4 linked regions of the Lonchura striata genome follow. The protein of the gene in region 2 purifies or fractionates together with the protein of the main gene of each other region. This does not show direct contact. Links are inferred from orthologs where the notes say so. Each region holds a gene or a part of one and is shown on either strand. Other genes may lie near its edges. The genes, in order: BTRC, IKBKB, CREBBP and FKBP5.

The links.
Region 1: the proteins of IKBKB (region 2) and BTRC purify together in Homo sapiens (affinity purification with western blotting; 3 studies listed by BioGRID). This does not show direct contact. The link is inferred for Lonchura striata from reciprocal best matches to the Homo sapiens genes IKBKB and BTRC.
Region 3: the proteins of IKBKB (region 2) and CREBBP purify together in Homo sapiens (affinity purification with western blotting; 3 studies listed by BioGRID and IntAct, with this or other methods). This does not show direct contact. The link is inferred for Lonchura striata from reciprocal best matches to the Homo sapiens genes IKBKB and CREBBP.
Region 4: the proteins of IKBKB (region 2) and FKBP5 purify together in Homo sapiens (affinity purification with mass spectrometry; 3 studies listed by BioGRID and IntAct, with this or other methods). This does not show direct contact. The link is inferred for Lonchura striata from reciprocal best matches to the Homo sapiens genes IKBKB and FKBP5.

What each region holds. Positions count from the first base shown.
Region 1 is NC_134609.1:19,680,794-19,689,010, forward strand, and holds the start of BTRC (F-box/WD repeat-containing protein 1A), read right to left. Parts: upstream 3,075-8,217; 5' UTR 2,983-3,074; coding exon 2,935-2,982; intron 1-2,934. UniProt on the Homo sapiens protein: Substrate recognition component of a SCF (SKP1-CUL1-F-box protein) E3 ubiquitin-protein ligase complex which mediates the ubiquitination and subsequent proteasomal degradation of target proteins. Recognizes and binds to phosphorylated target proteins.
Region 2 is NC_134634.1:4,929,723-4,937,432, reverse strand, and holds the start of IKBKB (inhibitor of nuclear factor kappa-B kinase subunit beta), read right to left. Parts: upstream 3,275-7,710; 5' UTR 3,247-3,274; coding exon 3,142-3,246; intron 3,071-3,141; coding exon 2,976-3,070; intron 2,260-2,975; coding exon 2,142-2,259; intron 1,390-2,141; coding exon 1,320-1,389; intron 919-1,319; coding exon 830-918; intron 364-829; coding exon 274-363; intron 1-273.
Region 3 is NC_134618.1:3,872,988-3,880,482, reverse strand, and holds the start of CREBBP (CREB-binding protein), read right to left. Parts: upstream 3,237-7,495; 5' UTR 3,087-3,236; coding exon 3,002-3,086; intron 1-3,001. UniProt on the Homo sapiens protein: Acetylates histones, giving a specific tag for transcriptional activation. Mediates acetylation of histone H3 at 'Lys-18' and 'Lys-27' (H3K18ac and H3K27ac, respectively).
Region 4 is NC_134632.1:4,621,099-4,628,466, forward strand, and holds the start of FKBP5 (peptidyl-prolyl cis-trans isomerase FKBP5), read right to left. Parts: upstream 3,095-7,368; 5' UTR 2,975-3,094; intron 2,936-2,974; exon of another isoform or gene 2,917-2,935; intron 1-2,916. UniProt on the Homo sapiens protein: Immunophilin protein with PPIase and co-chaperone activities. Component of unligated steroid receptors heterocomplexes through interaction with heat-shock protein 90 (HSP90).

The sequences.
Region 1 (8,217 bases), on a different chromosome or scaffold from region 2:
ATTCACCAGCAAAAACAGTCTTTCCTTGTGAGCAGTGGCTTAGTATTGTGTAGTGTTCATACACAGCAATTTAATATCAGAAATAAATTAGGTCTTATTAAGACATAGAGGTAAATTGAGTAAGCAAATGAAATTAAATAAATTACTTAAATCTTAAAGTATTAGATTATACATATTGTACCTGAGCACAGATAACCAGAAAATGTAGCAGGTATCAGTTAAATGCAATACTGCTTCATTGGCAAGTAATCCAGCCAACACCAGCTACTGAGAAGGCAGCTGCCTTCTACTGCCATCAAAAAGTTACACAGACATGAGCATAGAGAAGAACAACAGAGTACTGTTTGTCTTTCAAAGCATCAAATATGGATGCTTTAAAGCAGAATAATTTAATTAATAATATTAGCACTGGATGAAGCTTTCCCATTTTTCTGTTAGACTTGGACATTAAAATGAAAATCAAATCACTAAGTCCATCTTGCCTGGTACCTTGTGATTCAAAAGAGCTGCTCAAAGTCAATGTCAAAAATTAAGTTCTCACATTTTTAAGTGGAAAAAAAAGTATTATTTTCTAGAGAAGCATAAACAAACTACCACCTCGAGGGCTGCTTTTCAGTATGAAATGAAACCTACCCCAAACACATATCAAAACCAAAACCGTCTCTCCTGCCTTTGACAATAGGCCTCATACCTCCAAAATGTACTTGAATCTTTACCTACAATGCTCTTTGGGAAGCTCCCAGGAAAATCAATAATTATTAGCAAAGCCCATCACAAGCCAAACTGTGAGCCACCTAATAAGGAAGATGCAAATGAAGCGTATCACATACTCTGATGGACAGGGTAATCCACAGTGAATGATTCAGCATTAGCTGAGAGGATGCATGAGCTGATCTGCTACCTCTGTGTGGATAACTGTACCAGTGCCACTACTGCAGTGCCTGAGCACTGTCTGAGTGCTACATGGACCAGAAAAGACATTTTCAGGAAGGGCCAGGATGATACTTGCAACTGATTGCTCCTGTATGCTGATGTATCTATCTGTGTCACCCTTCCAGAACACCAGAAGACCCCACCAAGTCTGACAAACACTTCACTTCATCAGCAGAATTAAAGGAAGAGCCATGTTCTGGACTGATGCACACTAAAGCAAAAGCCTGGGATGTGCTTAACAAAAGCTTTGCTTACTCTATTCTCAACCTGTAAGCAAAAAAACCCTAAAAAGTTCAGAATGGACAGAGAGAAGTCATATCTTTCACTGTATGTTTTACAGGCATTTTGCAAACAAGAGGCACTTAAATAAAACATGAAAGAACGTGGGTTAGCTTTTAGCTCTCAGTGCAGCCTGGTCTTGATAATTCTTCCCTTTATCTGGTGCTCTTAACAGATGCATATCCCAGAAGAGCAGCTTCCTCTCACAGGCATGCCTCTCCCCAGTGTCAGGGAGCTCTATTGTTGGAGTCCATCAATATCTGTTGTTGTCCATCTATATCAGCTATTGTTGGAGTCCATCATCATCCTGCCAGCTGCAGGATGGACAGGGATTCCCTCAGCCTCCAGACCCAATCTTACAGACAATCTCAAACCACCCGGACTAAGCCCTTGAATGAAAATCATAGCACAGGGGGCCAAAAAGCAATGTATGAGAAGTCAGCATAGCATGCTCACAATGCTGTCTGGCAGCAGACAAGAATGTTTCAGCAGAAACTTTCTGGGATGTGAAACTCACTATCTAGAGGCAGGTTGTAATTACCAAGCTTGGCCAAACACAAGTGCAGCAGGATCTGGGACACTCCTTTGGCCAACCCCACACCAAAGATGGCCATTCATTACTTCTGATTGATATCTTGCTGATTTAGGTGTCCATAGCATTTTTCCACTTCACCTAGCTGAGACTCTATAAATCTGACAAACTTGGAGACTACTAGCAAATGGCTTAAAAAGTCTCAAGAGAGAAACAAGTTCTTCCAGATGAAAAGCCAAAAGTCAAACAAGTGTATTGAAGCTCAATTAGAAATTAAAATTTGCAGCTAGTGTTTCCTCAATTTCATTTTGGGCATATGTTCTGACAATTTAATAGCATTCCTTCTTCCTGATGAGCTCAAGTTTAATTCTGTGACACTAGAAGCACTAATCCAAAACAAACTTTTAGCAAGTGCTGCCAGTCATTTGAATTATATCCTTAGGGAAGAAGAGTTCAGGGCACCTGGAATTCACATTCAATTTAGTTGGCAACACTTTGTTTTCGTTTCTAAATTTTACATTTCTGGCCAAAATGCTCAGAAACATCAACAAATTAAGAAAGAAGAATGAAGCTACCGTTTAAGTACACAATGCCTCAAATCTATGGAAATTAGCTATATTAGAAGAGCATCTTGGATGCATGTACTGTTTTCCATACCAACTCAAAACCTAAACAATGTATATGCTCCCCACAGTTCTATCAGTGATGTGCTGCTGCAGCAGCAGGTGAAACACTTAACTGCCAGGATTTAGAGATCTGGCAGGAGAATGGGAGGAAAAATAAATTACAGAGAGATGGTGAGCAGTACAGCAGGATAGTCTAAGGTGCACAAATAAAGAAAAAAATCCAAGAGTTACATGCGCAAAGCCTGCCGGTGCCTGCGGGCCCCTCTGCCAGGTCCTGCCTCACTCCGGTTTAACTTCCCCCTCTCCCAGGTGGCACCTGCAGCCGCCTCCCCCTGCTCCCGAGGCTCCCGTTGCCGGGATCTGGGGACCCTGCTCGCTGCCCTCCCCGCGGCAGGACGCCCCTCCCCGGGCCCGCTCACCGCCTTCCCCGCCCGCCAGCCCCGAGGCCCGGCTCCCCTTCCCCGCTGCTCCCCGCTCCACCTCGCCCCGTTCCCCCGCAGCCCCTCCACAGGCAGAGCTGCCCACCCTCCCCCGCCGCCTTCGCCGACCCCCGCGGCCGCTCACCATGAACTTGAGCGCCTTTTCCTGCAGGACGGCCTCGGCCGGGTCCATGGCGCTGCGGGGCCGGGCCGGGGCCGCCCCCCCGCTCAGTGCAGGCCGCAGCCAGCGCAGACGGGAACCTGCGCTGCCCCGCGCCCCCCCACCGCGCCCCGCTGCCGCACCGCGCATGCGCCGCTCCGCAGGCCCACGGGAAATGGAGTCCCCGGTCACGTCCCTGGCAAAGGGCCGACCTGCCGGATAAAACTACAAATCCCGGCAGGTTCCGGGCCTGGGGGCACGCTGGGAGCCGGCTGGCGCATGCGTTGTGTGAGCGCAAGGGCCGACGGGGGTTGTAGTAACGTGGGCCTAAGGGTGCGAGGTGCGGGCCAGGGGAGGATAGACGCGGCCGCTCGGGGCGGGCGAGGGAGGGAGGCGAGGTCCTGCAGGTGCCGTGTGGGCAGTGTCCAGCTCCAGTCCTTCCCTGCGGCTGGAAGGTACGGCTGGCTCCCGAGTCACAGCCCCGCGCTCCCAAACGCGCCGCAGGAGGGCTCGGCTGCTCCCAGGCTTTGCTCCCGCTGCGCTCCGTGCTGGCTGCCCGAGCCCATTGCTGCTGGCAAACCTAAACTGAGCCCCTGCACTGCGTGCAGAAATGTCTGGGGAAAAGTTACCAGGTCCGCAGGGGATGTGAAACTGGAAAATTTGCATCACTGGCATGGATCAAGGAGGCTGACATCATTCTGGAGAGATGTTTGTTTGAAGCCATCCTGTACATAAAAAGCCTCCCGTGGTGCTTTGGTGCCCTTCTTCTAATAATGGTTTTAGATCAATTTTCCCTGAAAATTGGACCAAGTTTTCTTTGCTGTACTAAGCAGCAAAGAGAAAAAAAGAATTGATCAGCATTCCTTGACTAGCAACTGCATATAGACAGAAAATTTATCTTATCTCCTCTGTTTCTCTGTTGCACACTTACAACATCAGCTCACGTGGCAACCATTGTTTCTAATCCTCTTTATTAAATTTGTCTCATCTCTTTCCAGTTTTTCTACATTTTTCACGGTGCCCAAAAACTTAAGCTGACGTGTATGGAGCAGCAGAGAGGAATTGCTTCCTATGGTTTTAATACCAACTATAAAACCCTGATAAGTTTTTACTTCTCTATAGCAAACAAAACACTGATTTCTAGCCAGTTTGTCATCTAGTAAAACACTCTGGTTCTTTTCCTTGCTGCATTTATATATTTGGCTCTGCATTTTAAGTGAGATACTCTGAATTTCTTCCTATTTAAATGCAAAGAAGCCAGCCACAAACATCAGCACTTGTATGTCCACGTGCAGCTCAAACCCATTGTTTTCATTCCCTGTTTGACACAGCAACAAAAGTGAAGCTTCAGGCAGGTACAAAACCTGTATCTCCTGAGTCCCAGTGCCTTCCCTCATTTTCTCTAAACACTCCATCTCCTCCAGATTTTCAGGCAGAATGATTAGAGAGAAAACAGAGGATGCAGAGAATGTGCCCATTACTGGATTCCTCCCAGGGCATGTGACTAGGTAGTGCCTTGTGATCCAGTGCCAGGAGAGTCTGCTGCAGCCAGTGACCCAGCAGAGGTGACAGGGAATGTCAGCCTTTGCAGGGTGTGATGCTGGCATGATCCATGCTCTCAGAGCAGTGGTCTAAGAGAAGGAGGAAGAGATAACCTGATGTTCTCCCTCTACAATCCCAGGGCATTGAAATCTCCCAAATAAAGCTTCCATGTCACCAGGACAAGAGGCTGCCATTCATGACCCAGCCATGCTCTTGGCTGTCGTGCTTTAAGCCCAGACTCTTAGCAGTGAAATGCCTGAAATGCTTGGCTCTAGTGGGGCTGGGCACTTTCCAGACTGCTGACAGCACTGAGAACACTCACCACGATTATATAAATAACAGTAATTATAAGGAGGGAATCCTATAATTACAAAGGGAGGGCTCCTGTAACAGCACTGAAGGCAAGCAGGGGCTGCTGGTGCTCGAGGCAGGGCTCTCCCATGTCTCCTTCCTCCAGGCATCCTGCAGCTGGCTTGGGGTGTAAATGGATCCTCCTGGTAGCAGCGTGGCAGGCTCAGAGCTTTGATTGCACGGTTTATTTGTCAATAATATCTGATGCCGACCTAATTGTTGGAAAATTGGAAAGTGTAATGCTTCAGCATTAGACACCAGTGTCCCAAAGCCCTCCAGGCTGATTGATCTGTCTGGACTGTAACTTACAGGGGATTAATGTCCCTGAACTCTGTGGAGCCAGAACTAATGAGTGTTTAGGTGCTGGACTTAAACTTGGTGGTAGAAGGTCATGGCTTGGTTACTCTGCCACACTGCCATCAGAACCCCACAACACAGAACCACTGCAGAGGGACAGGGCAGGAGCCTCAGCTGCAGCACAGAGTGACTGAGGAAAGACTCCCAGAAACAGCACTTGGCCCAGCAGCGCTGAGCATGGAGTGACACCTTGTTGTGAGAACCTCACCTGGATCTCTACGTCTGTGGCCTGACCTTGTCGCCCCTTCCCACTGTGGGATGCTCCCTGCAGCTGAATGGCCAGCTCTGCACCCACCAGCTTGCTGAGTCCTCTGTGGCCAGAGGAGATGATGATCAGCACACCAAGCTGTGACACCATCAAGGTGTCACATCAGACAGCAGGCAGAGACCAATTGGAGAGGTGTGTGGTTCATAAGGCAGGGAGAAGGCACACTTCAATAGATTTACCACCAATTATTTGTTTGAGTTGCAGGAACTGGACATGTGTAGTCAGTGCTGTCTCTGCCACAGTAGAGCTGCCCTTTACTTTTCCTTGAAACAGCAATCATACCCCCCCACCCTGCCCTCCACCCCCTCGCTGCAGAGCACTGAAACGAGCCCATATAGTGCTCAGGGGCCTCACCATCCTTCCAGATGAAGGATGCTACCTAACAGTAAAGATATTACTGTGATTATTTTTACAATAGCATATTGCTCTGTGCATTCCAGACTCTGTGGACCACATCCACGCCTGGTGTAACGCCATGTTAATTTGCTGTGGCAGTCATTAATTGGGTAAGGAACAGCTGGTGCTTTGCTTCAAGTGAAGCTGATTGGGTCAGTAAGTAAGTGGTTAAGAGATCTACAGCAGGTATAGCCCTACCTTTCTCTGCACTCCAGAGGGGTTTCACTTCTTGTCCCAGTGACCCATGGTGGAAGCAGCAAGATTTGGCCATAAAACATTAGGGAACTTTAATCAGTGCGATTCCTTTGGGCATTATTGCCTGAATTTTTAAATTTTGAATAATAAAGGATGATTTTAAATTAAATTTGTGGAGTTGCCATCTGTGTGGGCTTGGCCTTGTTTTCCTCTACTTTGGCAGTGCCTTGGCTTCATTCTTTCCAAGTTGGAGCAAAGAGGAAGGGAAGTGAAAATAAGAGAGTTCACTGGTGGAAGAATCTTTTGTTGTTCCCTTTGTCCTGCAAGAACTTGGCAGCAGCAGTAGCAGCAGCTGCTACTGGGGCTGTGTTTCACAGGGCTGAACACAGAGGCAATCTCTGGTAGCACAAGAGCTTGTGAGAAGGTGACAGGGACCCCTGCAACCAGAAACATCCCAGTGGGTCAGCTCAGCCTCTCCAGCCTTGCTTTTCCTGACAGTGTCATGTCCCACACAGGGCTCTGGCATCTCAGCTAAAGGCACTTGGTGTGCAATGGCCTAGGGAAACTGAGGGCAGAATGCCTCCCTGTAGCCTGTGGACAAAGGGTCTCTTTTAGGACAAAGGGACACTCAGTCATGCAAGAGGGAAGGGAGGGAGTCCAGGACCACACAGTATGAATTATGTTCTCTGAGCAGGACAGTACTCATTACTTGGTATAAGTAGACATGCAAAGCTGCACGTATGGAGGGGATGACCAGAGAGAAAGGCTTGTCTGCAGAGAAACCACAGTAGTGTAGGCTATAGATTAACGTCTATGGGTTGAGCTGATTATATCTCTTATGCTGCTGCAAAGGGGAGATGCATCCTCTCTCCTGTGTCTGACAGCCACATGTTTCTTCTCACCTTCTGCTGGCTCCGAAACCTATTTGCTAGCACAGTAAGCTGGTTTAGTTGACTATATTGGCAGGAAAATTATACTCAGGAAATATTAACTAAACACTTTGCTCACAAGTCAAACTGGCTTTTTCTTACAACCACACAAATGGCAAAGTTGCTGTAAGGGCAAGTGGACCAGGGCAAAGAAAGATGAGATTGGTCCCTCTTAGTTACTGGGAGCTGCTAATTCAGCAAACAGAAGGTGGAAAACTTCTTGTCTTCCCACTTGTCAGGATCCCTGGACCCTCCTGAGGGTTGAGAGCCCTCTCTGCACTAATATCATCATCACTGGCTCTGGATGGCCAAGGCAGAGTGTCTTGGAGAGAACACATCCTGAAAGTTTGGAATACTTACAGGAATCCTGAGCAGATTAAACCTGAGTTCACTTCCCATCCTACCGTAGTGGCTGCATGGTGCTGCTCCCCCACCAGATTCACTGGGCCACTGGGAAGCTGACGATGCTGAAGCCCTGGTCCCAGTCTTTTCCATAGACTCTGTAGGTGCTTTGTTTAAAAATATGGATTAAAATGAATCAGGGTGACAACATTCTTGCACAGGTGCTGTACCAACTGTTCAGCAGCCTTCCCAGACTCTGAGGTCTTGCCAGAGGCCACGGTGAGGAGCACCAGGCTGTGGCACATACAGAAACATGCACCCCAAATCCCAGCCTGCCAGGTGCCTCCAGCACAGATCTGGAAGTGCCTCTTTACCCTTAGAACAGCTCCTTCCCTCTCTGAGACCTTGCTACCTCCCCTGGGGTGTGTCCTTTGGTGTTTGCAGCACCTTCCATCAGCCTGTCCTTGACACAGCAGCAATGACAAATTCATCAGTCCTTCAGCAAATACGAGTCCAGAGGAGCATTGCTGGGAGCTCAGTGCTGCTGCCTGAAGGGTGGCAAAGGGGAAAGAAAGATTTCTTCTTACAAGGACAAAAAACAAACCCAAACCACCAAACCTGACCCGACAGAACAAAAACAACCCCAACAAGTACCTTGTAGTCAGAACAGCCTTTTAAAGCCTCATGAATATTTAGTTTGTCCTCATGTAAAATATATGACTTTGTGTAAGGATCAGGCAAAGGAGGTGCATGATTTTTTTCTGATTTATGGGCCCAGCAACGGATTATTCATAGCAGAGCAGCTGTGTGGAAAGATTCATCCACTGCAAAATGTGATTGTACATCAGGCAGTGTGAGGGAACAGAGCTATGACTAATGGCTACTTTA
Region 2 (7,710 bases):
TATTAAAGACATTACTGAATGCTGCCTCTCACATGCTTTAATTCCCTCTAGGAGTGAGCAGTATTCCTGGTTACTGGCACTTCTGCTTATTCATAATAGAAGCAACTAGCAGAAAACCCAGTGTCAGCAAAAAACAGTCACCTTCACTTGCTTCAGCACCACAAACACACCCCATACCATGCAAGTACTTAATCCCAGCCCAAAACTTGATAACAATTAATTCTACCCCACTAGAAAGCAGTAGCTGCTCTTATACCTGAATTCCTTTCTTACCAAGTACTGCAGAGTCCCAACAAAGGATGTGCATAGGCTACCCTGATCCAACTCCTTAGCATAACCAAGGTCAATGATTTTGTGTATTAACTGAAACACACAACAGAGAATAAGAGTGCTAGACCGAAATCCTGTTAAAAGCACATCATACAGCAGAAAGAAAATGTTCAGCTCTTCAAAGCTATACAGGAAAGGTGCTAGTGAAGAGGCAGAAGTAGAAATGGGAGGCTACTGTAGATTCCTTAAGCCACAATGAATTTGAAGGTGTCATAGCACACTTAGCAGTTATGTGTCTAGTTCCTTCCAATCTTAGGTCAATCAGTACAGTGTGGCTCTCTCCTTAATAGCTGAAAGTCGAAATGTCAGGTGTTAACAGATGTCTAATACAATGTCTTAGCTGCACACAGAATACTATTCATCTGACATAGTGGCCTGAGACAGGTGTTATCCTGGGCTGAGTGCTCTTGCAGAGGGACCATGTAACTGCATGAAGCACATGCATGCTCCTTATAAGCTTACTTGTCTGTGCAGGCAGAGACAACTGCTTCCTGCTTACCCTTTGTTCTCCTTGCTGCAGCACAATGTTCTCTGGTTTCAAGTCTCTGTGGATGATCCTGTTCTCATGAAGGTATCTGAGAGCAGAAGCTGAGACACACATAAAGGAAATTTTAAGAGCATAAGTAACAGTACCTAGACAAGATCAGTAAGGACTCGGTTCTATTTATGGCTTTCACATCAAACCTTGTACAATGAAACATACCATGAAACACTAAGTGTAAGGTGTAAAGTTAGCATCATAGAACTCTGGACACAAACTGAGTTCTCTCTCTGAATGTTCCCCCACATTCTTCCTTTAAACTGTAGTAACACTGGCTAGCTTCCAGTAGGCAAGGACCTCCCCAGACTCCCAACACTTTTGGTAGATGATCAAGATCATAAAAGGTCAGTCTAAAACTGAGTCACTAAGGTCACTGCTGTATATTTGGAGAGTTGATTCAGGACTAAAAAGGTTTCTATAGCTCAGACAACTGAAGGCTACCACTTACCAATGTCAGATAACAAGATAAGAATAGCTTCTTCCCGCAAGCCACAGCAATTCTCCAGCTGGTTCAGGTACTGCAAGTAAGCAACACAAAATGCAGTCTTTCCTTCCTCTATCCTGAGTGAAGCCCACAGTCCCGCAAATTCTCAGGGATACAAGAAATTTCAGCAACAGCAATTAAATTCTCCAGAAGCACAAAATTCTATGGGGTGTGACCTGTGACAGCAGCAATTACAGCTTCATAATTAAATCAGCCTTAGCTTAATTGCATGGGAGAATAAAGGAGTAGGTGAAAAGTCACTGTCATCCCATTCTAATCCTTCTGTTTGTTCCATCCCTCTTTGCCATTTCCCCTGTGCCTGCCAATATCAACTCCAATATGAGGCCTAAAGTCTGTGTTTTAGCTATGGGCAGATTACAGCAAAGGTCAGAAAAGCCTTAGGATTAGAACTATCATGTGTTATTTCTTCCTACAACAGACAAGAGTTAATCACTTTAAGGAAGGGTACAGCCTACAGATGCACCTACCCTACAATGGTCTTGGCCATACTCATATTCTGTTGCACATCCCTTACACTTGCCCTCATTATTTATGTGCAAACTCCTCACAGTGTCACTTGCATCCAAAAAACCAAAAGAGTTTCACAAAGCACTTAAGTCTTCAAAAGCTGAACATAGTATCAAGGACCAATCCACCAACAACTGGTGATGCCATGATAGAATTAGGAAGCCTCAGGATGTGAAAGCAAAGGTTCTAAGAGAACAGAAAACCCAGGATAAGATTAGAAGCTGACCCATTCCTTGGTTACCACCCCAGGGACCTCACCTTGCGGAGGTCTCCCCCTTGGCAGTACTCCATGGCCAACAGTGGCAAGTCATTTGGTGCGAGCTTCTGCATCCCTTCAGGGACATCGCGGGCAGCCACCACATTGGGATGGTTCAGTCTGCGGAACAAAAATTAGGCAAGTAGGCATGATGTTCTGCAACTGCTATACAATTTCACATGCTCCTGGTCATCACCTAAAGTGATCACAAATCCTTTTAGAAATTAAATGAGTGAATTCTGAAGGTTTGCATATTTCACGGATCTAGCCTCATTCAAACTCCTAGCATTTCACGTGCAAGACAGTGTGTTTCTTCAACACACATGCATTACAGATCTGTCTAGAAGGTACAGCAACAACTCTTGCAAGGAGTGCAAGGCAGTCTGTTGCCACCGTCCAGAAAAGACCCAAACTGCAATCAGACCACTACACCCGAAAATGCTAATCCAACACCCCAAGGGACAGACGTTAAGGCAAGCAAAGCAGCGGCTAGGTAGCAGCGTTGTTGTAGCGCTGAGGGCACAGCAGACGAGCCGAAGACGGCAGTGTGAAACCCAAGAGTCTCACGCAGCACCGTATGAAGTTTTCTTACGCGTGAACTTCCACCCACCTGCCGCCGAGCGGACCGGGCACCTCCCGGAAGGGGATCCCTTGGCGGCCAGCGGCCGAAAGCCTCTCCCACCATTTCCCTCAGCGCACCCGTCAGATCCGCGCTCCAGGGCCGCCTCCGCCACGCGTCCCGGGGCACCGACGCGACACCGCGCAGCGACCCCTCCGCCCGGCCCGGCCCACGCGGGCACCGGCCTCGGCCCGAGAACACCGCCGCCCCGCCTCACCTCTTCATGATCTGTATTTCCAGCGCCCAGCGGTCGCGGTTGCGCGGGCTCAGCTCCTGCCGGCACTGCTTGATGGCCACCTGCTCGCCGGTTTCCTGTGGACATAGTAAGGGTGGGCTGAGACCGGGTCCGGAGCCGGGGCGCCGCGGGCCCGGCTACCGCCTACCTTGTTGTGCCAGCGGATGACGTTGCCGAAACCGCCGGTGCCGAGGCGCTCCCGCATCTCCCAGGGCCCGCAGGTCAGCGCCTGCAGCGCGGGCGGGCGGCTCATGGCGGGCCCGGCTCCGCTCCGCGGGACCTGCGCTTCCGGCTCCGGCGCCAGCGCCCGCCCTTCCAGGGGCCGCGCCGGGCCGGCGCTCGGCCCGCTCGGGGCCGCCCCGGCGAGGAACGGCGGAGTCGCGATCGCCGTGGCCGCGATACCGCGTGGAGTCAGGGGCTCGGGATGAGAGGCGAGAACAGCTCGTGGACTGTGTAAGTAAAATTAAAGAGTTGCCGTCTTCTGCCCGCAGCATCTCCAAGATCTGCCAATCCGGAACGCACCATTTGCTTTTCCCACCGCACCGCCCGAGCCAAAGCGCTATTCTGGCTTTACATCGGGTTTGGCTATTTCTTCCTTCTGGGCTGGCTGGCGTGAGTTGCTTTAATACCACTGCAAAGATGCACAACAGTACGGGGGTGGAAACTGCTCTCCAAGATCTGCCACAACTCCAGTCGCCTGCGCTGGACCTGCCAAAGCCACCGGCCAGAGAGGGTCCCGCCGAGGTGACATGGGCCTACTGTGGGATGTCATGCTGTCACACTTCGTCACTGCCATTAAATAGTCCTGCTGAAATTATCCCAAGGATCAACGTAGAGAAAATCCAGTAGGTGGTGCTTGAGAGAGCAGACACTTTATTGCTGGCTTTCCTAAAATATGTTAAGCCCTACAATGGCACCACAGTCTGTAGACAATTATAGTTGTCCTTAAGCTCTGAAAAGCCAGGAAGTAATTTCTGAAATCTTCCCCCATGGCCATCAGTTTGTTAGCATCCTTAATCTAGAAATCAAATGGCTAGTATCTTAAAAAATAAAATAAATTAGCCCCTGCTCTCTCAGCAGTGTTCAATCTCAACAACTGGAAGTCCCTTCCAGAAACAGTCAAATGCAGCTACACATCAGATTTATGGCAGTAATGTTATCACTAGCACTGTGACTCTTGGAGAAATAAATTTTATAATCTTGACATAGATCTCCACACAGATAGAGTACGGGTGTTTCATCTTTACCATTATGCAAAATAACCAGTGCTGTGTTTTCCAAACGAGGTCTCTATGCACCTGCTTCTTAAAATAGAAGTCACTCACTCCACATACTGGTTCTTACATCTTATACTAGATTCTGTCAGGAGCTTGATTGCTAGTGTATCAGTTCCAAGCAGGTACGACACATTCATCACTGTAACAATTGCAGCAATGACTGTTTTCATAACAGTGCCCTAAGTTAATCACATTTGTCTGCCACGCTTTGATAACTGAATACTCATGACCACATTCTGGTAAGTAGATCTTCATTTTCTAGGGTGAGTAATATCAGTGAACATTTAACTCTGGCCCTCAACATGCTGTTCCTTATTTGTATCTAAAGTTCTAAGAAGTTTTGCTCATTTAACTTGAAAACTCCCCTGTTTCTTCTCCTGTGGCTCTGTTCAGGGCATGCTTTGCTCCACAATTGGGTCAAGGCCTCTCTGCCTGTGGGAACTCAAAATGTCTCTCAAACATTTTTAGAGGTTCCAAGCCTTAGTCAGAGGCATTCTAGACCCTGGCAGACAGCTGAAAAACAGCTGTAACTTTGAGTTGGGGCCATGGGGTGAGTTGCCAGCTTTGGAGGTGGAACAAGCAGTCACAAAAGGTTAGATAGTATAGTAAAAGTAATTACAAAGTAGAGGGGAATTTTTTTTTAGTATTGTAAAGGGGGGTTTTAGCACATATACAGGGGGGTTTTCACTTTGTACATGGGGGTCAGAAGTTCTAAGATGGAGGAAAGTGGGCTGATCCTGTTCTTCCTCCTTCTTTTTCCTTGCCTCCATGTTCTTGGTCATGTTGGCAGTCACAGATTGGTTTACAGTAGAAAAGCACTTTGTAATATAGGTAGTAGGTATTGGGGGAAAACTATAAACATGTAATACGTAATATATCATATAAAAGATAGCAGCAGCCCTGGGCGGGGAGAGAGACGAAGAAGACAGCAGATAGAGAGGATGTCAGGGTGTGTGTGTGCCTCTACCCAGGCCGCTGATCAAATAGCCGCAGTCCAAGAACATAATCTGTTAGATAACTAGCAATAAACTGCCTTGAGACTGAACAGCTAAAGCCTGTGGAGTTTTTCTTTGGAAGCACGGGTTGGAGGAGGAATTTCACCACCATATGAGACCCCAGAGCAAGGCTGTGGTTCTCACATCTGCCAAACATTTTCATTAGGAACACAGCACACTACACTTGTGTGTGAAACAGGAGTTTCTTGTTATTAGGACTAAGTCTACATACAGCAGACTTCTGATTATATTATAAATAATACAGCTGTGCATTCATTCATACTCCTAGAAGTATAATGGGACAGGACAGTTCGTTGTAAGGGATACATACTATTTTGTCATTGAACAATAAGGTATTCAATGGGGAAGAGATTGTTTTGAGAACTAAATCTGCTCTCTGACTGGAAAAGAGAAAGAACAAAACAAACTGGCTGTAAAATCCAGCAGCATTCCAGCAAGTAGCTTTCCTCCCGTCCTGCACAGGGCTCCCTCCCCAACAATCCGGATGCCAGCCGCCTGCTTGGACCATCCCCTAGATGCTCGGGAAGGGGTGGGATGCGGACAGCACGCCCCATGGCCCAGCTCCATCAGCACGCTCCACCCCCTCAAGTGGTGCTACAAGTAGGACAGAGAGATCAGAGCAGAGACACAGGAAACACAAACCCAGACTGGTCTGGAAAGAAAATCATCAAGACTACAGAAGAGAAAAAGCAAAAAGGTAGGCACTACTCTGCACCTGTTTCAAAAAGGGCATTTCCTGTTTTCAACATCAATGGCATTGTCATTAAATACTATTAAATATTATTATTTAATAAATCCCAATTTAATAAATGAAGTACCATGATAGTTAACTAACTGAACTATTGCCTTCCTGCTTTTGAAATAATTCATAGCGTAGGTAAAGATGCTAACTTTCAGTTGTTTCAAGAAAGCTGAAGCTTTCCAGGGAAAGGGCTGACATGCCTTTTTGTTCACATTTGATAAGTGACAGCTCTTTTTTAGGTCTTATTCCACATAGGTAAGATAATGCTTACATTATTACTGCTTAGGCTGTTAGTAATAATAGGTTAATATGTGGGATTTTAAGTGTTCCTGTTGACGATGCTTCAGCAAAAAGAGACAAATTTAAGGTATAATATAGTGTTCTATCCTAATGTATTTGAAAGTGTAGAATCAAAATGTCAGAACATCACATCTAGGTCTTTGACTTATTGGTCTAGTATTTTTGAGAGGCCTACCAGATGCACACTGCTTGCCGGTTTCTGCTTGGAGCCTTGTAAGCATACTTTTCAAACAGTCAAATTATTTCAATTTGACGGCTTTTCATTCCAGTTGACTGGCCTAAGTTGTACCTTTCCCAAAACTGAAAATAAATGTATGGCAACATCTGTTACCAGTTTTCCATGCATAGTGGGACAGCAGCTATCAGTGGATGGACAGGAAGAGGTGGGGGAAATGCTGCAGCGCTATAAGCTAAGATAGCCTGAACAGGGGCAACAGAAATCAGTGGAAGACAGGATGTGACATCTAATGTAAAACCACTTTAGAGAGACTATCTACAGCATTTTGCAGTATAAACACTTGCTGTGTATGGCTAGAACCTACTTGTACAGATGAATATATGAGTTGAACTTGATTAAGCCATGCAGGTGCTTTTTTAAATAGAGACTCCTCATGTCAGTCTTCCAGGCAAAGAAAGTATTAAAAAGACATTTTTAAGTTTAAACTACCTGCTGGTTTCAGGTACGTAGGACTTCTTCCAAGATATCAGTTAGGCCAGCTGTCCTCCCAGACAAAAAAAAAAACCCAAAACAAACAAAAATACCCCTTATGTTGTCTTGTTTTGGGGCATCTTAGCAGGTACCTCAGAAATAAGGTCTCAACAGTTCTTTACTGTGCTTCCCAGGCAGGAATTCTAACAAGGCAGCTCAGCTGTGATCTAAGTAGTTTCACTGAACAAAGCTTTTCTTGAAAACAAACGCCTTAGCTACCAGAATTCTGTTTCTTGCAGTTGTAAGAACTTCAAGCCTTTTCCACAGATAACAACAAAGATCACCTGTGATACCAACAATTAGCAAGTTAAAACATTGCTACTGTGGGATTCAGAACACAAGCCTGCATAGATGTAATATGGAACCACAGCTGCACGGAGTAAGGATACTACGCAGGGTTATGGCAGAAACCAAGCAACTGGATGGCAGTTCAGATCATTCACTTTGACTTTGGGAATGCTACTGATTTAGTTCAGATTGAATTGAAGTTGAAATTGAATGCTGAAAGTCAATTAATTGAAAATCACTTGTACCATTTTTAAAAAGGCGTGCCATACAATGCAAAAAGTTTCCTAAGAGCTGAAAATAGCTTGAAAATATATAAAAACTGTACTGTGAAATCTACAGACCAATACAAATCACTGAGATATGTGCCAAATTTTAAGGATTTTAT
Region 3 (7,495 bases), on a different chromosome or scaffold from region 2:
TGCCATAAGCAAACTTACTGTAATTCTACTTTTTGTAGGAGTCCCTTGTTTATTCTGCGGCACTGGATGAGAACATCTCACAACAGCCACAGAAGAGACAAATGTTTAGGTATGAAAACGCCTGTGTATCCAATAAAGCAGTAATTAGACAAGAGCACTACTCCTACCTGGCTAGACAAGGAAAAATCTTTCCCACGGACATTTTACCACAGGAGTCTTCTCATTCAATACAGCACAGCAATGGCAAGTGAAGTTAACAGCCAGGAGTCTTAACCTTCCTTATTGATACAAAGAGCAGCACGGCAACTGCGAAATGAGACTATCATGAAACTTAACGATGGTCACAGCACCCATTTCTGTTATCCTTTCATCTCTGCACCCTTCTGCAAGACCAGACACTGAATTTAACCACTGAGGTTTAACAGAAAAGGCTGTATTTTCACAAGGTAAGCAGACCAATTTCAATGGCACAAACTTTGCCCCGGTAAGCTGAGGAGCTATTTTTATCAGAAAGATTAAAGGCAGCTAAAACTTACCCTGACAAAAGGAGTTGCTTAACATCACCGCATCAAAGCATCAAGAAAATATAAACAAGGAGGAGAGCAGTTGCTTTCTGCCCAACGTTCAGGTCTGCCATCAGAGCCTCGGGTGTGAGCATTCGCAGGCTTGAGCAGAACTGTTCAGCTGGGCCCAATGCAGAGGCTGTGAAAGCACGTCCCCCTCATCCCCCTCACGGCAGCCACAGCACCCACCAGTGTGGGGCTACCGCTGCAATTACAATAATTCTGTTCAACTCACTGCTCAGCCAGGGCAAAAGCCTCAGACCCATCTCCCCAGGCTCCCTCGATCACAAAGGCCACTTTCCAGGTTGCAACAGAACTTTTCTATTTAAGCCCCAGCAGCAGGGAGCAGCCTGGTTTAGTTCCAGGAGCAGGCATTTGACAGCAATCACTACTCAAACTATTTGTATCGCCTGCCACAATGCACGGAAACCTTCAGCAATCCTTCAACAAGCAGCATTAACTGCTGGCAACAAACCTAGAAGTGCTTTTCCTAAAAACAAGCCTCTCTTTAAGTGCACAAACATCACCCACACCCTTGGCAGAGAGGTACTTTTGCCTATGGAACACCAGGATGATGACAGAACTCCTTGGACACACTTGTCCAGAATACAACTTGGGGTTTGCCATCCCGGTGCCCCCAGGCCCCCTGAGCCCTGCAGAACTTTCTGCAGATGCTGGAGTTCACACATCCAGCGCCACACAGAGCTCCCCGAGACACACGAGAACTTGCTGAACAGGACGTAATTAAGACTGAAGCATTCCAGAACAGCCCAAGTGAACTTCAAAAAAGAACGAAGGAAGAAAAAAAAAAACAAGCCAAGACACTGGCTACCAGGAGAGTCTAAAATTTCTCACTGAAGTATTAAAGAACTATAAACTGTATTTGTCCTGAGTTACAAAGAGCATTTCGCAGCAACTTGTGTATCAGCCTTCCATATATTCCAGTGCTTCCACACAAGGGGGTAAGATCACAAGACCTCACCTAGATATTCCCTGACAATTCTAATTCGATACTGTTTCTTTCTCGCTTGTTTAATTTATTTGCAGGCTGAGAAAAAAGGTTTCCATAAAAAAACCCTAAAGGACCAAAGCATCTGTAAAGTGTTGCCAAATATAGATGGAGCAAGACGAAAAAACCCACAGAATTTATCAGCTCAATTATAGTAGTATTTTTTTTCAGTCTATGAAAACACAGCAGGCACAGCATGATTAACTTATCACTATCCCTTCCACAAGATTCATTAATCTCTGAAAGCAGAAATTAAAGTGCAACAGACTTCAAGTTCTTCTGAAACCACTCTTTCAGGGATTGAAACAGTCGGAACACCGGTAGAGGCCGGTCGGTCCAGGCACACATGCTCTTATGCACACGTGTGTATTTACAACGGGCACACACTGGCTGGAAACAAGACATTTTTATCTGTTTTATTATCTACAAATCCATCACATTTGAAGAAAAAGGCACGCCAGAGACACTACACACGACGCAGGCAAGTCGCAATGACTGCCACGCTGCTGGGCATTTCGGCATACGAGCAACCCCACAACTTCAATTATTATCGGCAAATCGTTTGGGGTTTAAAGGAAAAATGCTTGAAACAGTTTAAGCCAAATGCCCGAAAACCTCGGTCACAGGCTGGGAGGTAAAAAAAAGCACAAAGTATTAACTGGAGGATAGAATTAGATGTTCTTCAAGGTTCTTTCCAACCCATATCATTCTATGACTAAGAAGCTATTAAGGAGTTTTTATTCCGTAGTGTGTCACACACAGGGGCACAGTGAAAAAGCCTGTATAGGGCTATTAGCTGTGGGTAATCTGTGGGGTTTAAGGAGTAGACAGAAACTTAACTACCCTTCCAAGTTGAAGAAGGGTAGATTTAGATTCCGTATCGGGAAGAAATTCCTTCCTTTGACGACAGTGAGGCCCTCCGCACAGGCTGCTAAGAGAAACTGCATCTGCCCCAACCCTAGAAGTGTCCAAGGCCAGGCTGGACGGAGCTAGGAGCAACCTGGGATAGTGGAAGGTGTCCCTGCCCATGGCAGAAGATAGAACAAGACGGGCTTTAAGGTCCCCTCCTACCCGAACCATTCCACGATCGTACAACAAGCAGGACGGTCGCTTCCCTACCCGCACTCCGCTCACCTGTCCACCCCCATCACCCAAACCGAGGCACTAAAAACGAAGATGATGGAGGAAAAGATGGGAAACCTAACTCGAAAAACGTCTCTTTCCAACCGCTATTTATAGCCGGGACGGTACTTGGCGTACGGGTCCCGCCCGGTAACTTCGACTGCAGGAGGCCCAACCCACCCCCGCCAGGAACCGCGGCAGGGCGGGCGGTCCCGCAGGCCCCCCCTCCGGCGGGGCGGCGGGGGCGGGGGGGTGTGTGGGGGAGAACCGGCGTAGAGCCCCACCCGAGCCACCCCCGCGGCCTTACCTGTGCTATCGCTGGCGGAGAAGCCCGGCGAGTTGAGCTTGGCTCGCTTGGGGTTGGGCGGCCCGTCGAGTAAGTTCTCCGCCATGGTGGCCGGAGCGGCGGAGCCGGCGATCGTTGTCGGGGGGTGCCCGGGGGGGGCCGAGCTCGCTGTCCCCGCTCCTCCGCCGCACGGGAACCCAACAGCGCCGCTCAGTGCCCGGCCGGCCGCCCCCGCTCCCCCATGCCGGGCCGCCGCAGGCCGCAGGGAGGAGGGCTCGGGGCGGGGAGCGAAGGGCCCAGCGCCCCCTCCCTGCCGGCCGCGCTCCTCCCGGGCGCTCCCCCCGCCGCGGTGCCCGGATGGCGGCTCAGGCCGTCACTCGGGGCGCATTCCGCCCCCCCACACGCTCCCCTCGCCTCGCCCCGTCCCCTCCCCTCCGCGGCGGCGGCTTCGCCCCGGCCCCCGCCCGCCGCCCGCCCGCGGCTGAGGTAGGGGAGGGAGGAGGGGGGGGGGAGGAGAAGAGAAGGGAGCGGGGGGGGGGGGGGGGGGGGGGCAAAAATTAAAAAAAAGGAAAAAAAATCACCAAAAAGCGGAAAACCGCGCCGACCCCCCAAAAACGCCCCAAAACAATGAGCGCGGCGCGGCGGCGGCGGCGGCTCCCGGTGGCGGCGGCGGCGGTCGGTTGGCTCCGGGCGGCTGCGCCCCGCTGGCTCGAGCCCCCTGTGCGCGTCGGCGGCGCTCGGCGCGGCTGCCCCGTGCGGCGGCGGGGCGGCCCCGCTGCCCCGGCCCGGCCCGGCCCGGCCCGCTCCGCCCGCGCCGCGCTCCGGCTCCGCGACAAGATGGCGGCTGTTGATTCCTCAATTAAAAAAAAAAGTTTTTTTTTCTCTTCTCTTTTCCAGAGCCCTCGGGGGCGGGGCGGGGGCGGGGCCTGCGCGCTGCGTCAGCGCGCTCGCGGCGCGGCCCCGCCCTGCCGGAAAGGCGCGCGCGGCGCCGGAAGCGGCCGGCGCCGTCCTCAGTTGCTCCGCTGAGGGGCTCGGGAGCGGCGGGAGGGTCGGGCGGCGACCCCGCCCCGCACGCCGTGCCGGCGGTGCTGTGCGCTCGCTCTCCGCCGCCCTGCCCCGCCTCGGTGCGCCCCGCTACCGCCTCGGTCTGCCCTGTTTGCTTCAGTCGGGGCTTCCCCCCGCAGCACCCCCTCGCAGCGTCCCCTCTCCGTTTGCCCTCAGATGTCTCAGGTGCCTGCTCCCGGTGCCCCCTCATAATCTCCCTTCAGTCCCCTCAGAGTGCATTTCTCTCCCTCCCACCCACAAAGTCCTCGCCTGGTCTTTCCTGTTTGCTCCCCCTCAGGACCCAGAGCTGTCCCCTCACAGTGTTCCGACTCCCCTCAGATGTCTGTTCCACCCTCACAGCGTCCCCCGCAGTCTCCCCTCAGTCCCACCAGAGATGTCTCAGTGCTCCCCTCACGGCGACCCCTCCATGCCTCCCCACAGTCCCCGTTTCTCCTCAGTCCCCTCGTAGGGACCCCCACAATCTCCCCTCGCAGTCCCACCATGGATGGCTCATTGGCCCTTCAGAGTCTCCCTTCAGTCCCTCAGATCCCTCACTTCAGTCGTTTGCCAGTCTCCCCCCACATCCCCTCTCTGACTCCCCTCGGATGTCGCAGTGCCCCCGCACAGTGTCCCCTCCATGTCTGCCCATGATCCCCCCTTCCCCTCTCAGTCCTTTCAGAGTCACCCACACAATCTCCCCTTTCACTACCACCACGGATGGCTCAATGCCTCCTCATAGTCTTTCCTCCCCACATACTCCTAAGAGCCCTCACCCCTGTCTCTCCTCTCAATCCCACCATGGATGTCCCCTCTCATCTCTCCCTGAATCGTCCTCAATTTTCCCTCTCAGACACCTATCAGTCCCTCACAGTTGTATTTCCAGTTTGCCTTCTCAGTCTCACCAAAGATGTCCCCTCTCAATGCCCCCTTCACAGCCATCCCCCTCACAGTCTCCCTTCTCAGTTTCCCCTCAGTCACCTCTCAACTTCCCTTCTCAGTCCACAGACAGGATCTCTCTCAATGTCCCCCTCAGCATGTCCCCTCTCAGTTACCCCCTGCAGTTCCCCCTCTCAATTCTACTGTGGACATTCCCTCTCAATGCGCCCATCACAACATCCCCTCCCAAGCTCCCCCTCAGTGCCCCCATTTTCCCCCGTGCCCCCATTTTTCCCCGTGCCCCCATTTTTCCCCGTGCCCCCATTTTTCCCCATGCCCTCAGAGCAGCCACACACAAGGGCAAGTGTCCCATCGGAGCTGACCCACTCTCAGGCACCAGCATCAAACCCCAGCCTCACTTTACAAACACTTTCTGCTCTGTCTAGACAGACTTCCCCAGCCCAAAACAGGTTTAGAAGACTGGAGCTCATATACTTCCATAGATTTCCATACTGGTTCCCAACCTGAGAATCAGGTCATATAAGCCCCGGTGACGTGTGTGGCAGCAGAGCTCCTTGTACCCAAACTGGTTGCTTGGGGCTGTTTTCATCATCTTCATGTTGGAATGTCCTCCAAAGGTAGCCACAATGGGAGGAGAGGCTGGAGAAGATCTGGACACAATTCTGAGGATTTGTTGACAAGCTCCATAAGCTGAGATGGATTCAACAGCAATAATTTATTGGTTTGAAGGAGATCTATAATGACAGATTACTTTGCAAAGAGTAAGTCTGCGTTTTGTTTACTGCAAAACTCGAATTCATTACATTTACTTCTACATTTACATGAATTTCATTACATTTACTTGCAAATTCTGTATTTATTTACATGGTGCCTGTCCTTGCTGAGGTCTGGCTGTAATCACGTGGAGGTCTGTCAGGCCTCTGTTTCTATCACTGCACTACTCATTAGCTACACAAGTAAGTGCTCTCTGGTTGTGCCTGCTTTAATTTCCTTCAAAAGCAATGAGTTCCCATCTGTTTCAGGATGTTTCAGTGTGGGACAGGGTTTGGTGTCTCACAGTGCCTCTAGATGTAAAAGCAGCAGCTCCTGTCCAGCAGCATTTTACTGTGGTATAAAGCATTTATTCCAGTTTAGGTTAAAGGAAAATGTTTTGCTGTTGGAGGTGAGGGGTGGGAGTCACATCAGATTCTAAGTCACAGCCGAGGACAACAGGGTCTTTTTCTGGCTCCTGCTTGAACTTTTTAACAAGTTTAGTTGGTGTATTTTGAACTGTGTCTTGGATCACTCTTTGTGCTTGCCTTGGTCATTACAGCCTGGGCAACCTGAGCTAGTGGAAGGTGTCCCTGCCCATGGCAGGAAGGTGGAACGAGCTGGTGTTTAAAGCCCCTCAAACCCAAAGGAAGCTGTGGTTTTTCAATTACATCATTTAAGGATATGCTGGAGTGGCTGACACCAGGAGCCCTCCATAGCACTTCCTCATCACCCCCTTCCCTGCTGCTGCACTAACTCTGCAGCTCTGGGATAAAGTCAGGATGGAGATTTACCACTGGGGACAGATCCTGAGTGGTCCCATGGCTACTGCCACTCTCCAGAGGATGTTCATGCTGCCTGGTGCTGGGCAGCACACCCATGTTACAGCAGTACTGCAGCCCTGAGCACACAGCTGCTGAGGCGCTGACAGCCCCAGTGCTGTGACAGGAGCTGCTGTGTCGGTGCCTCTGAGGGAAATGCTGTGTACCCGCTGTTGGGAGAAAAGCAGAGGATGTATGGAGGCCATGATGAGCTGGGAGAGCTCCTCTGTCTTTACAGCAAGTGCCAGGCTTGCCACACCAGTGAAGTCAAAGCGGGGCTGCAAGTCCCAGGAGCAGAGTGGGAGGGAAAGGAGGTGCTTTGGAGGGAGGGAATCCTTCACCCCAGGCAGCAGGGGCAGAGGAGGAGGATCCTACTGCTGCTGTGTCCTGCAGCTTCTCTGTGGTGAAATGTCCCCTTAGGATGGCCCCTAAGGGGATCAGATCCCCTGCCATGGGATCAGAACAGCGCTGGGTTAATGGCAGGAGGGAGAGGAAGACCTCGGCTGTTACCAGCTGCCCCTTGGAAAGAGGGCTATGATTAAATACCCTGAAGGCCTAAGAGTACCCTGGGTATCACAGCCCTTTGGTGTCAGTACTGCAAGACTTGGATGGCCTCACTCACTAGTAATGCCAAACATGCAACAAACTCAAAGAGAGCAGGAGGATTTAATAATGAAGAGAAACTCTTTGAAAGACACTATATGTCAAATACACCAATATTCTCAGTCTGGACTCCAGTGCATGGCTCCCTGCTCCCCCACTGATGGGTAAGCCCTTGAAAGGATTCCTGAGGCCTTCATTTGTGATGCTCAGGAGGGAGGGTGAAGCAGGTGCTTAATGGATAACTCCTTTATTCGGGGACTAGTTCCAAGAGAAATTGCATAATAAAATCTGCACTGCTGCAGCCCATCGCCAGACTTCCTGTCTCCAGGACTAAGCTGCTTAAAGACACAGTTCCTGAGATCCTACCTTCCTTCCCCACCCAAAACATGGAAGTATCATT
Region 4 (7,368 bases), on a different chromosome or scaffold from region 2:
TGTTTGCCAATTCTGTTTTAATTTAGCCTTTTCTCCGGACTAAATGTGGCAATTAAACTTGGATCTATTAAAATGTGTTTGTTTCTTTGTTTTCCGAGCAGCTTGCAGCCAGGTGACCCCTGGCAGTGGGAATGCTGTGCTGGATGATTTATCCCCACACACCAGGGCTCAGCAGCACCTGGAGCATCCCTGAGCTGAATGCCATGAGGGGAATCCCCAGCTCAGCACCCAGCACCGCCAGCAGCAGCTCTGGCACCCAGAAATAACTCAGCACCCAGCACCATCTGCACCAGGGCGCTGTAAATGCCAAATGATTCTGGGCAAACGGCAATTCCCAGGGAAACGCCAGCCTGCTCGGGTGCCAAGTGAGGATTTCTTGGAGAAACATCACGAGGGGACAAACTGCAGGTGGGGAGGGGGGTGGCAGTGGCATCGCTGGGGACGCTGCGAGGAGCAGCAGGGGCAGATGCCACCACAGCCTTGGGGACAATGCCAGCACAGGGGTGAGGACAGGCTCTGACACACTGGTGTGCACCACCTGGGGTGGGGAGGAGGCTGCATCCCACCTGGGCTCCTTTTTGGGGTGGTGTCACATCCCAGGAATGATGCTCTTGGTCAGGCAGTGCCTCCCAGGGCTCGTTTTATTCAGTGGTTAAATTTCATCTAAATCAAAAAGTTCTTGCAATGAGAATATTTTTCCATCTAAGGACAATACTGCTATTTACAAAGATGGGACACTGCAGGTAGAAGATGATTTAGCTGCAGTCCCTCACAGTCCTGACTCTTCACTTCTGACAGTTACTTTACCATTATTTTCCTAATTTTCCAACGCACTCGCTTGCAAAATCAGAAATCCTTACTAATCACAATTACTGGTTATGGAAAAAGCCTGTCAGCTCCATGACAAACAAGTTACATGAACAACTTGTACGTTAGAGCACTCGTGGCCACTTCTTTACACCCACAGGCACAGAGCATTAAAATAAAACCCTTGCTAAGTAATATCTATTTCCCTTTTACGTGCACAAGATCAGTAGGAGCTTCACAGCTCCCTCAAGGGGCTGCAGCAACTTTATAGAAATACATGTAACCAAGAGTGAGTATAAAATAAAATTGATATAAAATAGCATAGAATGAGAAATAACTGAGGACAAACTATTTTTCAAACCACTTACAAAATATTTTTCCCCTGAGCCAGTCTGCAGCCAGCCCAAGGAAATTTTGGTGCTGACCATCTCAAACCTTCCAGCAAACTTTCTCCTTCTGCAAGCAGGTAATTAATTAAAACACACGTAACTACACAGCAGTGGTGTTCCTGAGGGATGCAGTCTGCTTTTTATTCAGTTGTCCTTATTTTTGGCTCGTCCCAGCAGGAAGGTGCTCTAACAGTGCTGGGAAAGGACCTCGACATGACTGAAATGTGTGCTGGGCAAACACAGCCTTGGGAAGATGAGATTATTTGCATTTATTAAAAATAAAAAAAAAATTAAAAATAAAGCCCAAAAATCCCGAACAAACAAGGAAAGATAATTGCATGAGCAATTATCCTGGCAGACATCTCTGTTCTGAGCTGGATGGGCACCACGAGCAGCCTGTACCACCGGACCTCTCCATCCCCCAGAGCCACCAGCCACGTGCTATCACCTCTCCCTGTGCACTTCAGCAGAGGAGAAAACTTCTCCACGACTCCCCAGAAATCTGCTGGGGATTTTTTCAAGGACCTAAACCCACCCAGGACCCCTCCACCCCCTCGCTGTGCTGCACAGCTCCAGGTTGTGGACGCTGCTCCCTCTCTGGCAGGGATTTTCTGTCCCCTCCCCAGCAATTTTGTCCCATTTTCAGAGTACCAGGCTGGAAACGCAGCCCAAGTATCTCGGAGTTGCAGCACTGGCACCCAAATCAAAGCCACAGCACCTTTGGGAAGACAGAGCAGAAAAGCCAGATAGATACAGGCTCTGCCAGACCTTTTTAATGATTTTCTTCTCCTCAGCCCTTCAGCAGGACAGGGGAGGAGGGAGGCAGCTTGCTCATGTTTTAAAGGAAGCGGCAATTTGTGCTTTCAACTCTTTTTTTTTTTTAACTTTTAATTCCAGTTCCCAGGTTGGCTTTGATATCCCAGTGATGTCCTCAAATCCACCTCAAGTTTAATAGCTCGTTAGGATGAGACACTATTTAAACTCTAAAGCCATAAAGTATCAGCTCCTGGCTTTTTTTTTTTTTCTTTTTCCCCATTATGTTTTATTTTTAAGCATACTTTTATTGTTTGCACCGTTGGGGACAGAAATTCGGTTCAGCTTTGGAGCCTCAGCTGGAAGCCGCAGCCTGGGGACACACCGATGACAGACAAATCTCCTACGAGTTCCTACAGCCCATTGTGTAAAATACAGTTTCCTGGGAAGAGCAAGCTCACTCGAACGTGAAAACAGAAGCTCTGGAAGAGTTTTGATGTGAGGAGAGGAGGAGAAAACGCAGAAACTTTTTTAAAAATCACATTTACCCTGTGCAACCACTTCTACCTGCTGCCAAAGGCTGTGCGTAGCGATGCACACACCCTGCGGGGTCTCTCTGCTTAAAAGAAACGCTCCGGCTGCTCCCGGGAGCCTCGGACGGGGATGGGGAGCGGGGAAAGCAGAAATTCCCTCCGGTAGCGGCGGCAGCAGCCCGGGATGTGCCGGAGCATCCCCGGGCACCGCTGCGGGAGCTCCTCCCGGCATCCCGGGGAGCTCCGTGGGGCACGGACCCCGCTCCTACCCTCACCGCCACCATCCCCTTCCCCAGCGCCCCCGGCCCGCTCGGGACAGCGCTGTCCCCGCTGTCCTGTCCCCGCTGTCCCCGCTGTCCCCGCTGTCCTGTCCCCGCTGTCCTGTCCCCGCTGTCCCCAAGCCCGCGGTGCCCCACGCTCACTCAGCCGCTCACCCGAGCAGCGCAGGGTGCGGCAGAGCGGGCACGGCGCTGCCCGGCCCGCGGGTCCCACCTGTGGCAGTGGCTGTCCCCGCTGTCCCCGCTGTGGCCGTGGCTGTCCCCGCTGTCCCCGTGGCTGTCCCCGCTGTCCCCGCTGTCCCCGCTGTCGCTGTCGCTGTCGCTGTCGCCGCCCGGCTCCGAGCGGCCCCCGAGCCCGCCCGGCCGGGCCGCCCCGCCCCGCGCCCCTGAGCCCGCCCTGCTCGCGTCTTATTGGCTGAGCCGCCTGTCCGTCCCCAATTCCCACCTTGCCATTGGCGGCGGCGGAGGCGATATGCAAATCAGAGCGCTGTGCCCGCGCGCTCGCCCGGGTGGCACCGGCGGGGCCGGGCGGGAGCGGGGACAGGGACAGGGACAGGGACAGGGACAGGGACAGGGACAGGGACAGGGACAGGGGACAGCCCGGCCAGGGTGGGACAGGGGACAGGGACAGGGACAGGGACAGGGACAGGGGACAGGGACAGGGATAGGGACAGGGATAGGGACAGGGGACAGGGACAGGGACAGGGACAGGGACAGGGATGGGGACAGGGACAGGGACAGGGACAGGGACAGGGACAGGGAACAGGGACAGGGACAGGGACAGGGGACAGCCCGGCCAGGGTGGGACAGGGGAAGGGATAGGGGACAGGGGACAGGGACAGGGACAGCCAGGCCCGGGTGGGACAGGGGACAGGGATAGGGGACAGGGACAGGGACAGGGGACAGGGACAGGGGACAGGGACAGAGACAGGGGACAGCCAGGCCCGGGTGGGACAGGGGACAGGGATAGGGGACAGTCCGGCCCCGGCGAGAGCGGGGACAGGGGACAAGGGACAGGGGATAGCCTGGCCCCCCTGTCCCGGCAGGGAGCGGGGACAGGGGACAGGGGACAGGGGACAGGGGACAGGGGACAAGGGACAGCCCGGCTCCGGCAGGAGCGGGGACAGGGGACAGGGGACAGGGGACAGGGGACAGGGGACAGGGGACAAGGGACAGCCCGGCTCCGGCAGGAGCGGGGACAGGGGACAGGGGACAGGGGACAGGGGACAGGGGACAGGGGACAGGGGACAGCCCGGCCCCGGGAAGTGCCCGCGGTGTTTGACCCCGGAGCTCCGTGCAGCGCTGGAGAGCAGCTCCGTGCAGCTCCGCCACCCGCAGGGCTCCTCAGCCCCCCGTGGGGCTGTCCCCACCCCGCGGCTTCATGCGACCCCGCAAGGACACCCCAGAGCCGCAGGTGCCCTCGTTGCCCCCCAGCTCCCCGGGGTGGCCCGATCCCTCCCAGCTCCTCCGGGAGTCGCAGGAAACACCGCGCAGAAGAGTGAAAAATTGCCTCAGAGCTGGGGACAGAGATGTGGGTTTGGCGGACAAGCGGCTGCTGGAACACGCAGAAATGTTCCAGTTCGGGAAGAAGGAAATAAGGTTTTTGTCAAGAGCTGCCCCAAGAATAGCGCCCCGGGTTAGAAATCAGCGCTTTTGTGATCATACACCTCATCGCTGCAGTGCCTGAGCAAAAAAAAATGTTGGGGGCAGATTTAAATTGGGACATCTCTGAGTGTTTTTATGAAGTGGTCACTTTTTACCAAGTTTGTGCTGTAATGAGTGCCTGCAGCTCCCAATCCGCATCCTCATTCCCAATAAAATCTTCGGGGCCAGGCTGAAGGCAGCACTGCCCTGGTGGGTGTTTTCTCACAGGTCTGCTCTATATGCTGAGTTTGATTTCCCCAGCTGTAATTTATACACCGGTGTCACTCAACAGAAATACAGAGTGAAAATTAAAGCCTACTTTAGAAAAGGGGGGGAAAAATTGTTTTCATGGCATTTAATTTTCCCCCCGCTAAAATAACCCTGGTGAATCTTGCATGTGGTTTCAAACATTTCCCTCCCGGCTTTAAATTTCCAAGAGCTTTAAATATTCATTTACAAAACAAAATTAAAATATTGTGGGTTTGCAATACCAGGAAAATCCACAGCACAATTCCATCAGGCCCCTGAGATAACACCAAAACCCTGAAAAACCCCATGGGACCAATGGCAGCAATGAGGAAGTTCAGCCTAGTTTGTCCTTGTACTATAAAAATGGTAATTTTTTTTTTGTTTGCATAGAACCCCCCTCCCCCAAAAAAATACATGGGAATAAAGAATCAGAGTTGCTTTTTTAGAAAATAAAAGACACCTTCCAAATCACTGCTATGCCAGTGCCAGACCCCCCAGCTCACTCTGTTTCTTGGGTGGGGAGATGTCCTAAAGTCTCCCCTCTCCCAGGGCTGGGGTCTGCCCCGTTCGCCCCCATCCCTGTAACACAACCTGGAGGAAATCTGTTCCATAAATAATCCTGTTTGGCTTTGTGACGCCTGCCGGGGGTACTGCTTGTTCCCCCTCGCCCTCCAGCTGGCCACACATGTCCTGCCCCAGCCCTGAGCCCAGCTCTGAAAGGACAGGGAGTTTTGGGAAAAGTCTGGAAGCAGGGAGCAAAGCCAAGGAACCTTCTCTGCTGGCTCCCCAGCACCTCGTGTGAGGTGAGAGCAGCCTTCCTCCAAGGGAGAGAGAAAAAAAAAAAATAAAATAAAGCAGGGGATATTTTTATTCATCCTTGTCTTCTGCTAAAAATAACCAGCGTTAATCTGCCTGGAGAGCGTGGGGAGGAGAGGAGTCCCTCCACCTTGGCTGCACATAGAGCCACATCAGTGAATCTCCTGAGAGCGGAGGAAGTGGCTTTTCTCTTTTCTCTTGGTTTCCTTTCGCGTGCGGCAGCACTGCTCCATGGTCCCGGGGCAGGGATCCTCCCCTTCCCGGCGGATCAAACCCATCCTTCCCCTCAGAACCCGGAGCAGCAGTGTCCATTTTGGGGCTCCGAGCAGCGTTTCTTGCGGCCCGGCGATGCCCGCGGTGTGCGCGCCCCTCGGGGGGCCCCGTTCGCCGCTGGCACCGGGGGCGCAGCGCGGTGCCGTGCCCGTGGGAAGCCGCGTGTTTACGGGAGGTGCAGCCGGGGCTTGCACAACAGGCGCCGGAGAACAGGAGAACACCGTGTCCTTGCTGTGGGTGCAGCGCAGCTCCCGGCAGGAACGGACGGACGTGGGGACATGGGGACATGGGGACATGGGGACGCGGGGGATGGGGCAGGAGGGCAAAACCTCCTGCTTGGCATGAGGAGTGCCGACCCCGGCGATGCAGAGCAGCTGGAAGCCGCTTTCTGGCTGAAACTCGCCCCCAAATCTCCCTGCGGGAAGGCCGCTGGGAGGGATGCTGGGTGTGGAGTGACCCAGCCTGGGGCAGTCCCTGGGGTCCCTCCCGAGGCTGCGGCAGCCTCCCCCTCTCTGCCCGGACTCACGGCTCCCCATACGACTTTTTAACAGCCGAGGGGCCGACACATCCCCCTCACACGTGGGGACCCCCAGGGAAGTCCCTGCTCCGTCACAGGCCTGACCCTGCCCTACCCTGCGGTGTGGCCAGAGCCGGATCTTTCCAGGTGCATTCTAATCCATAAATTACCAGATTGTGGCCTAAATTCTGGCCCTTGTTGCAAAAAGCCCCCAAGCCAGCAGACAGGGGCACCTCCCTCCAGAGGCTTCGCTGATCCTAGCTCCATCCCTGAGCTCCCATTTTCCTCACGGCGCTTCCTTCCAGGCACCGGGGACAGCTTTTACTAGAGGAAAGGACGCAAATATTTCCCCAAATTATTTCCCTTCTGAGGAAATGAGGAGAATCGCTGCTTTCCCCGGCTGGCAGTGAGCAGCAGAGAGGTGGACAGAGCCCAGAGCTCCCCCAGCCCTGCCGGAGATGCAGCCCCACAGCAGCAAGGGCAGGATGCAGCAGCGGGGCCGGAGCAGGGAGGATAAATAAAGTCCGGCTCTGCCGTCCTGGCTTGTGGCCACTTCTAACACAAAGTACATTCCGGTCTGGACGTAACGAACTGTACCAGCCTCCGGCGGAGAGGGCGGGTGCCTGGGGGTGCCTGGGGGTGCCTGGGGCTCCATCTCCAGCGTGGGGGTGCGAGCTGGCAGCACCGGGGGTGGGCACAGGGGTGACGGGGGCATCAATCCCCCGAGGACGCTCCGCTGTGAGGAGGCTGGGTCCTTCCATGCAGATGTTCCTGCCGGACGGATCCGAGACCCAAGAACTCCTGCAGATCGCCCTCAGGTGCCCCAATGCTTGCGGCGCCGCCCGGAGAGCGGCGGGTCGGGGGCACAGCCGGGCTGGGCACAGAGCGTGGCTCGGGGGTCAGCGCTGCGGCTGAGCCCCACGAAGCCCCGCCGGGGTTTCGGAGCCGCTCTCAGCCTCTCCTGGCCGGGAGCCGCCGCGGCCGGAGCGGGCCGTGCCCCTGCCGGGAGCGGCACCGGGCGGGCGCGGTGCCAGGCGCCGGGACGGGGACGCGATGTACCGGCCGGGGAGCGCCGGGAACAGCCTGACTCAGCGCCGGGCCGCCGGGGA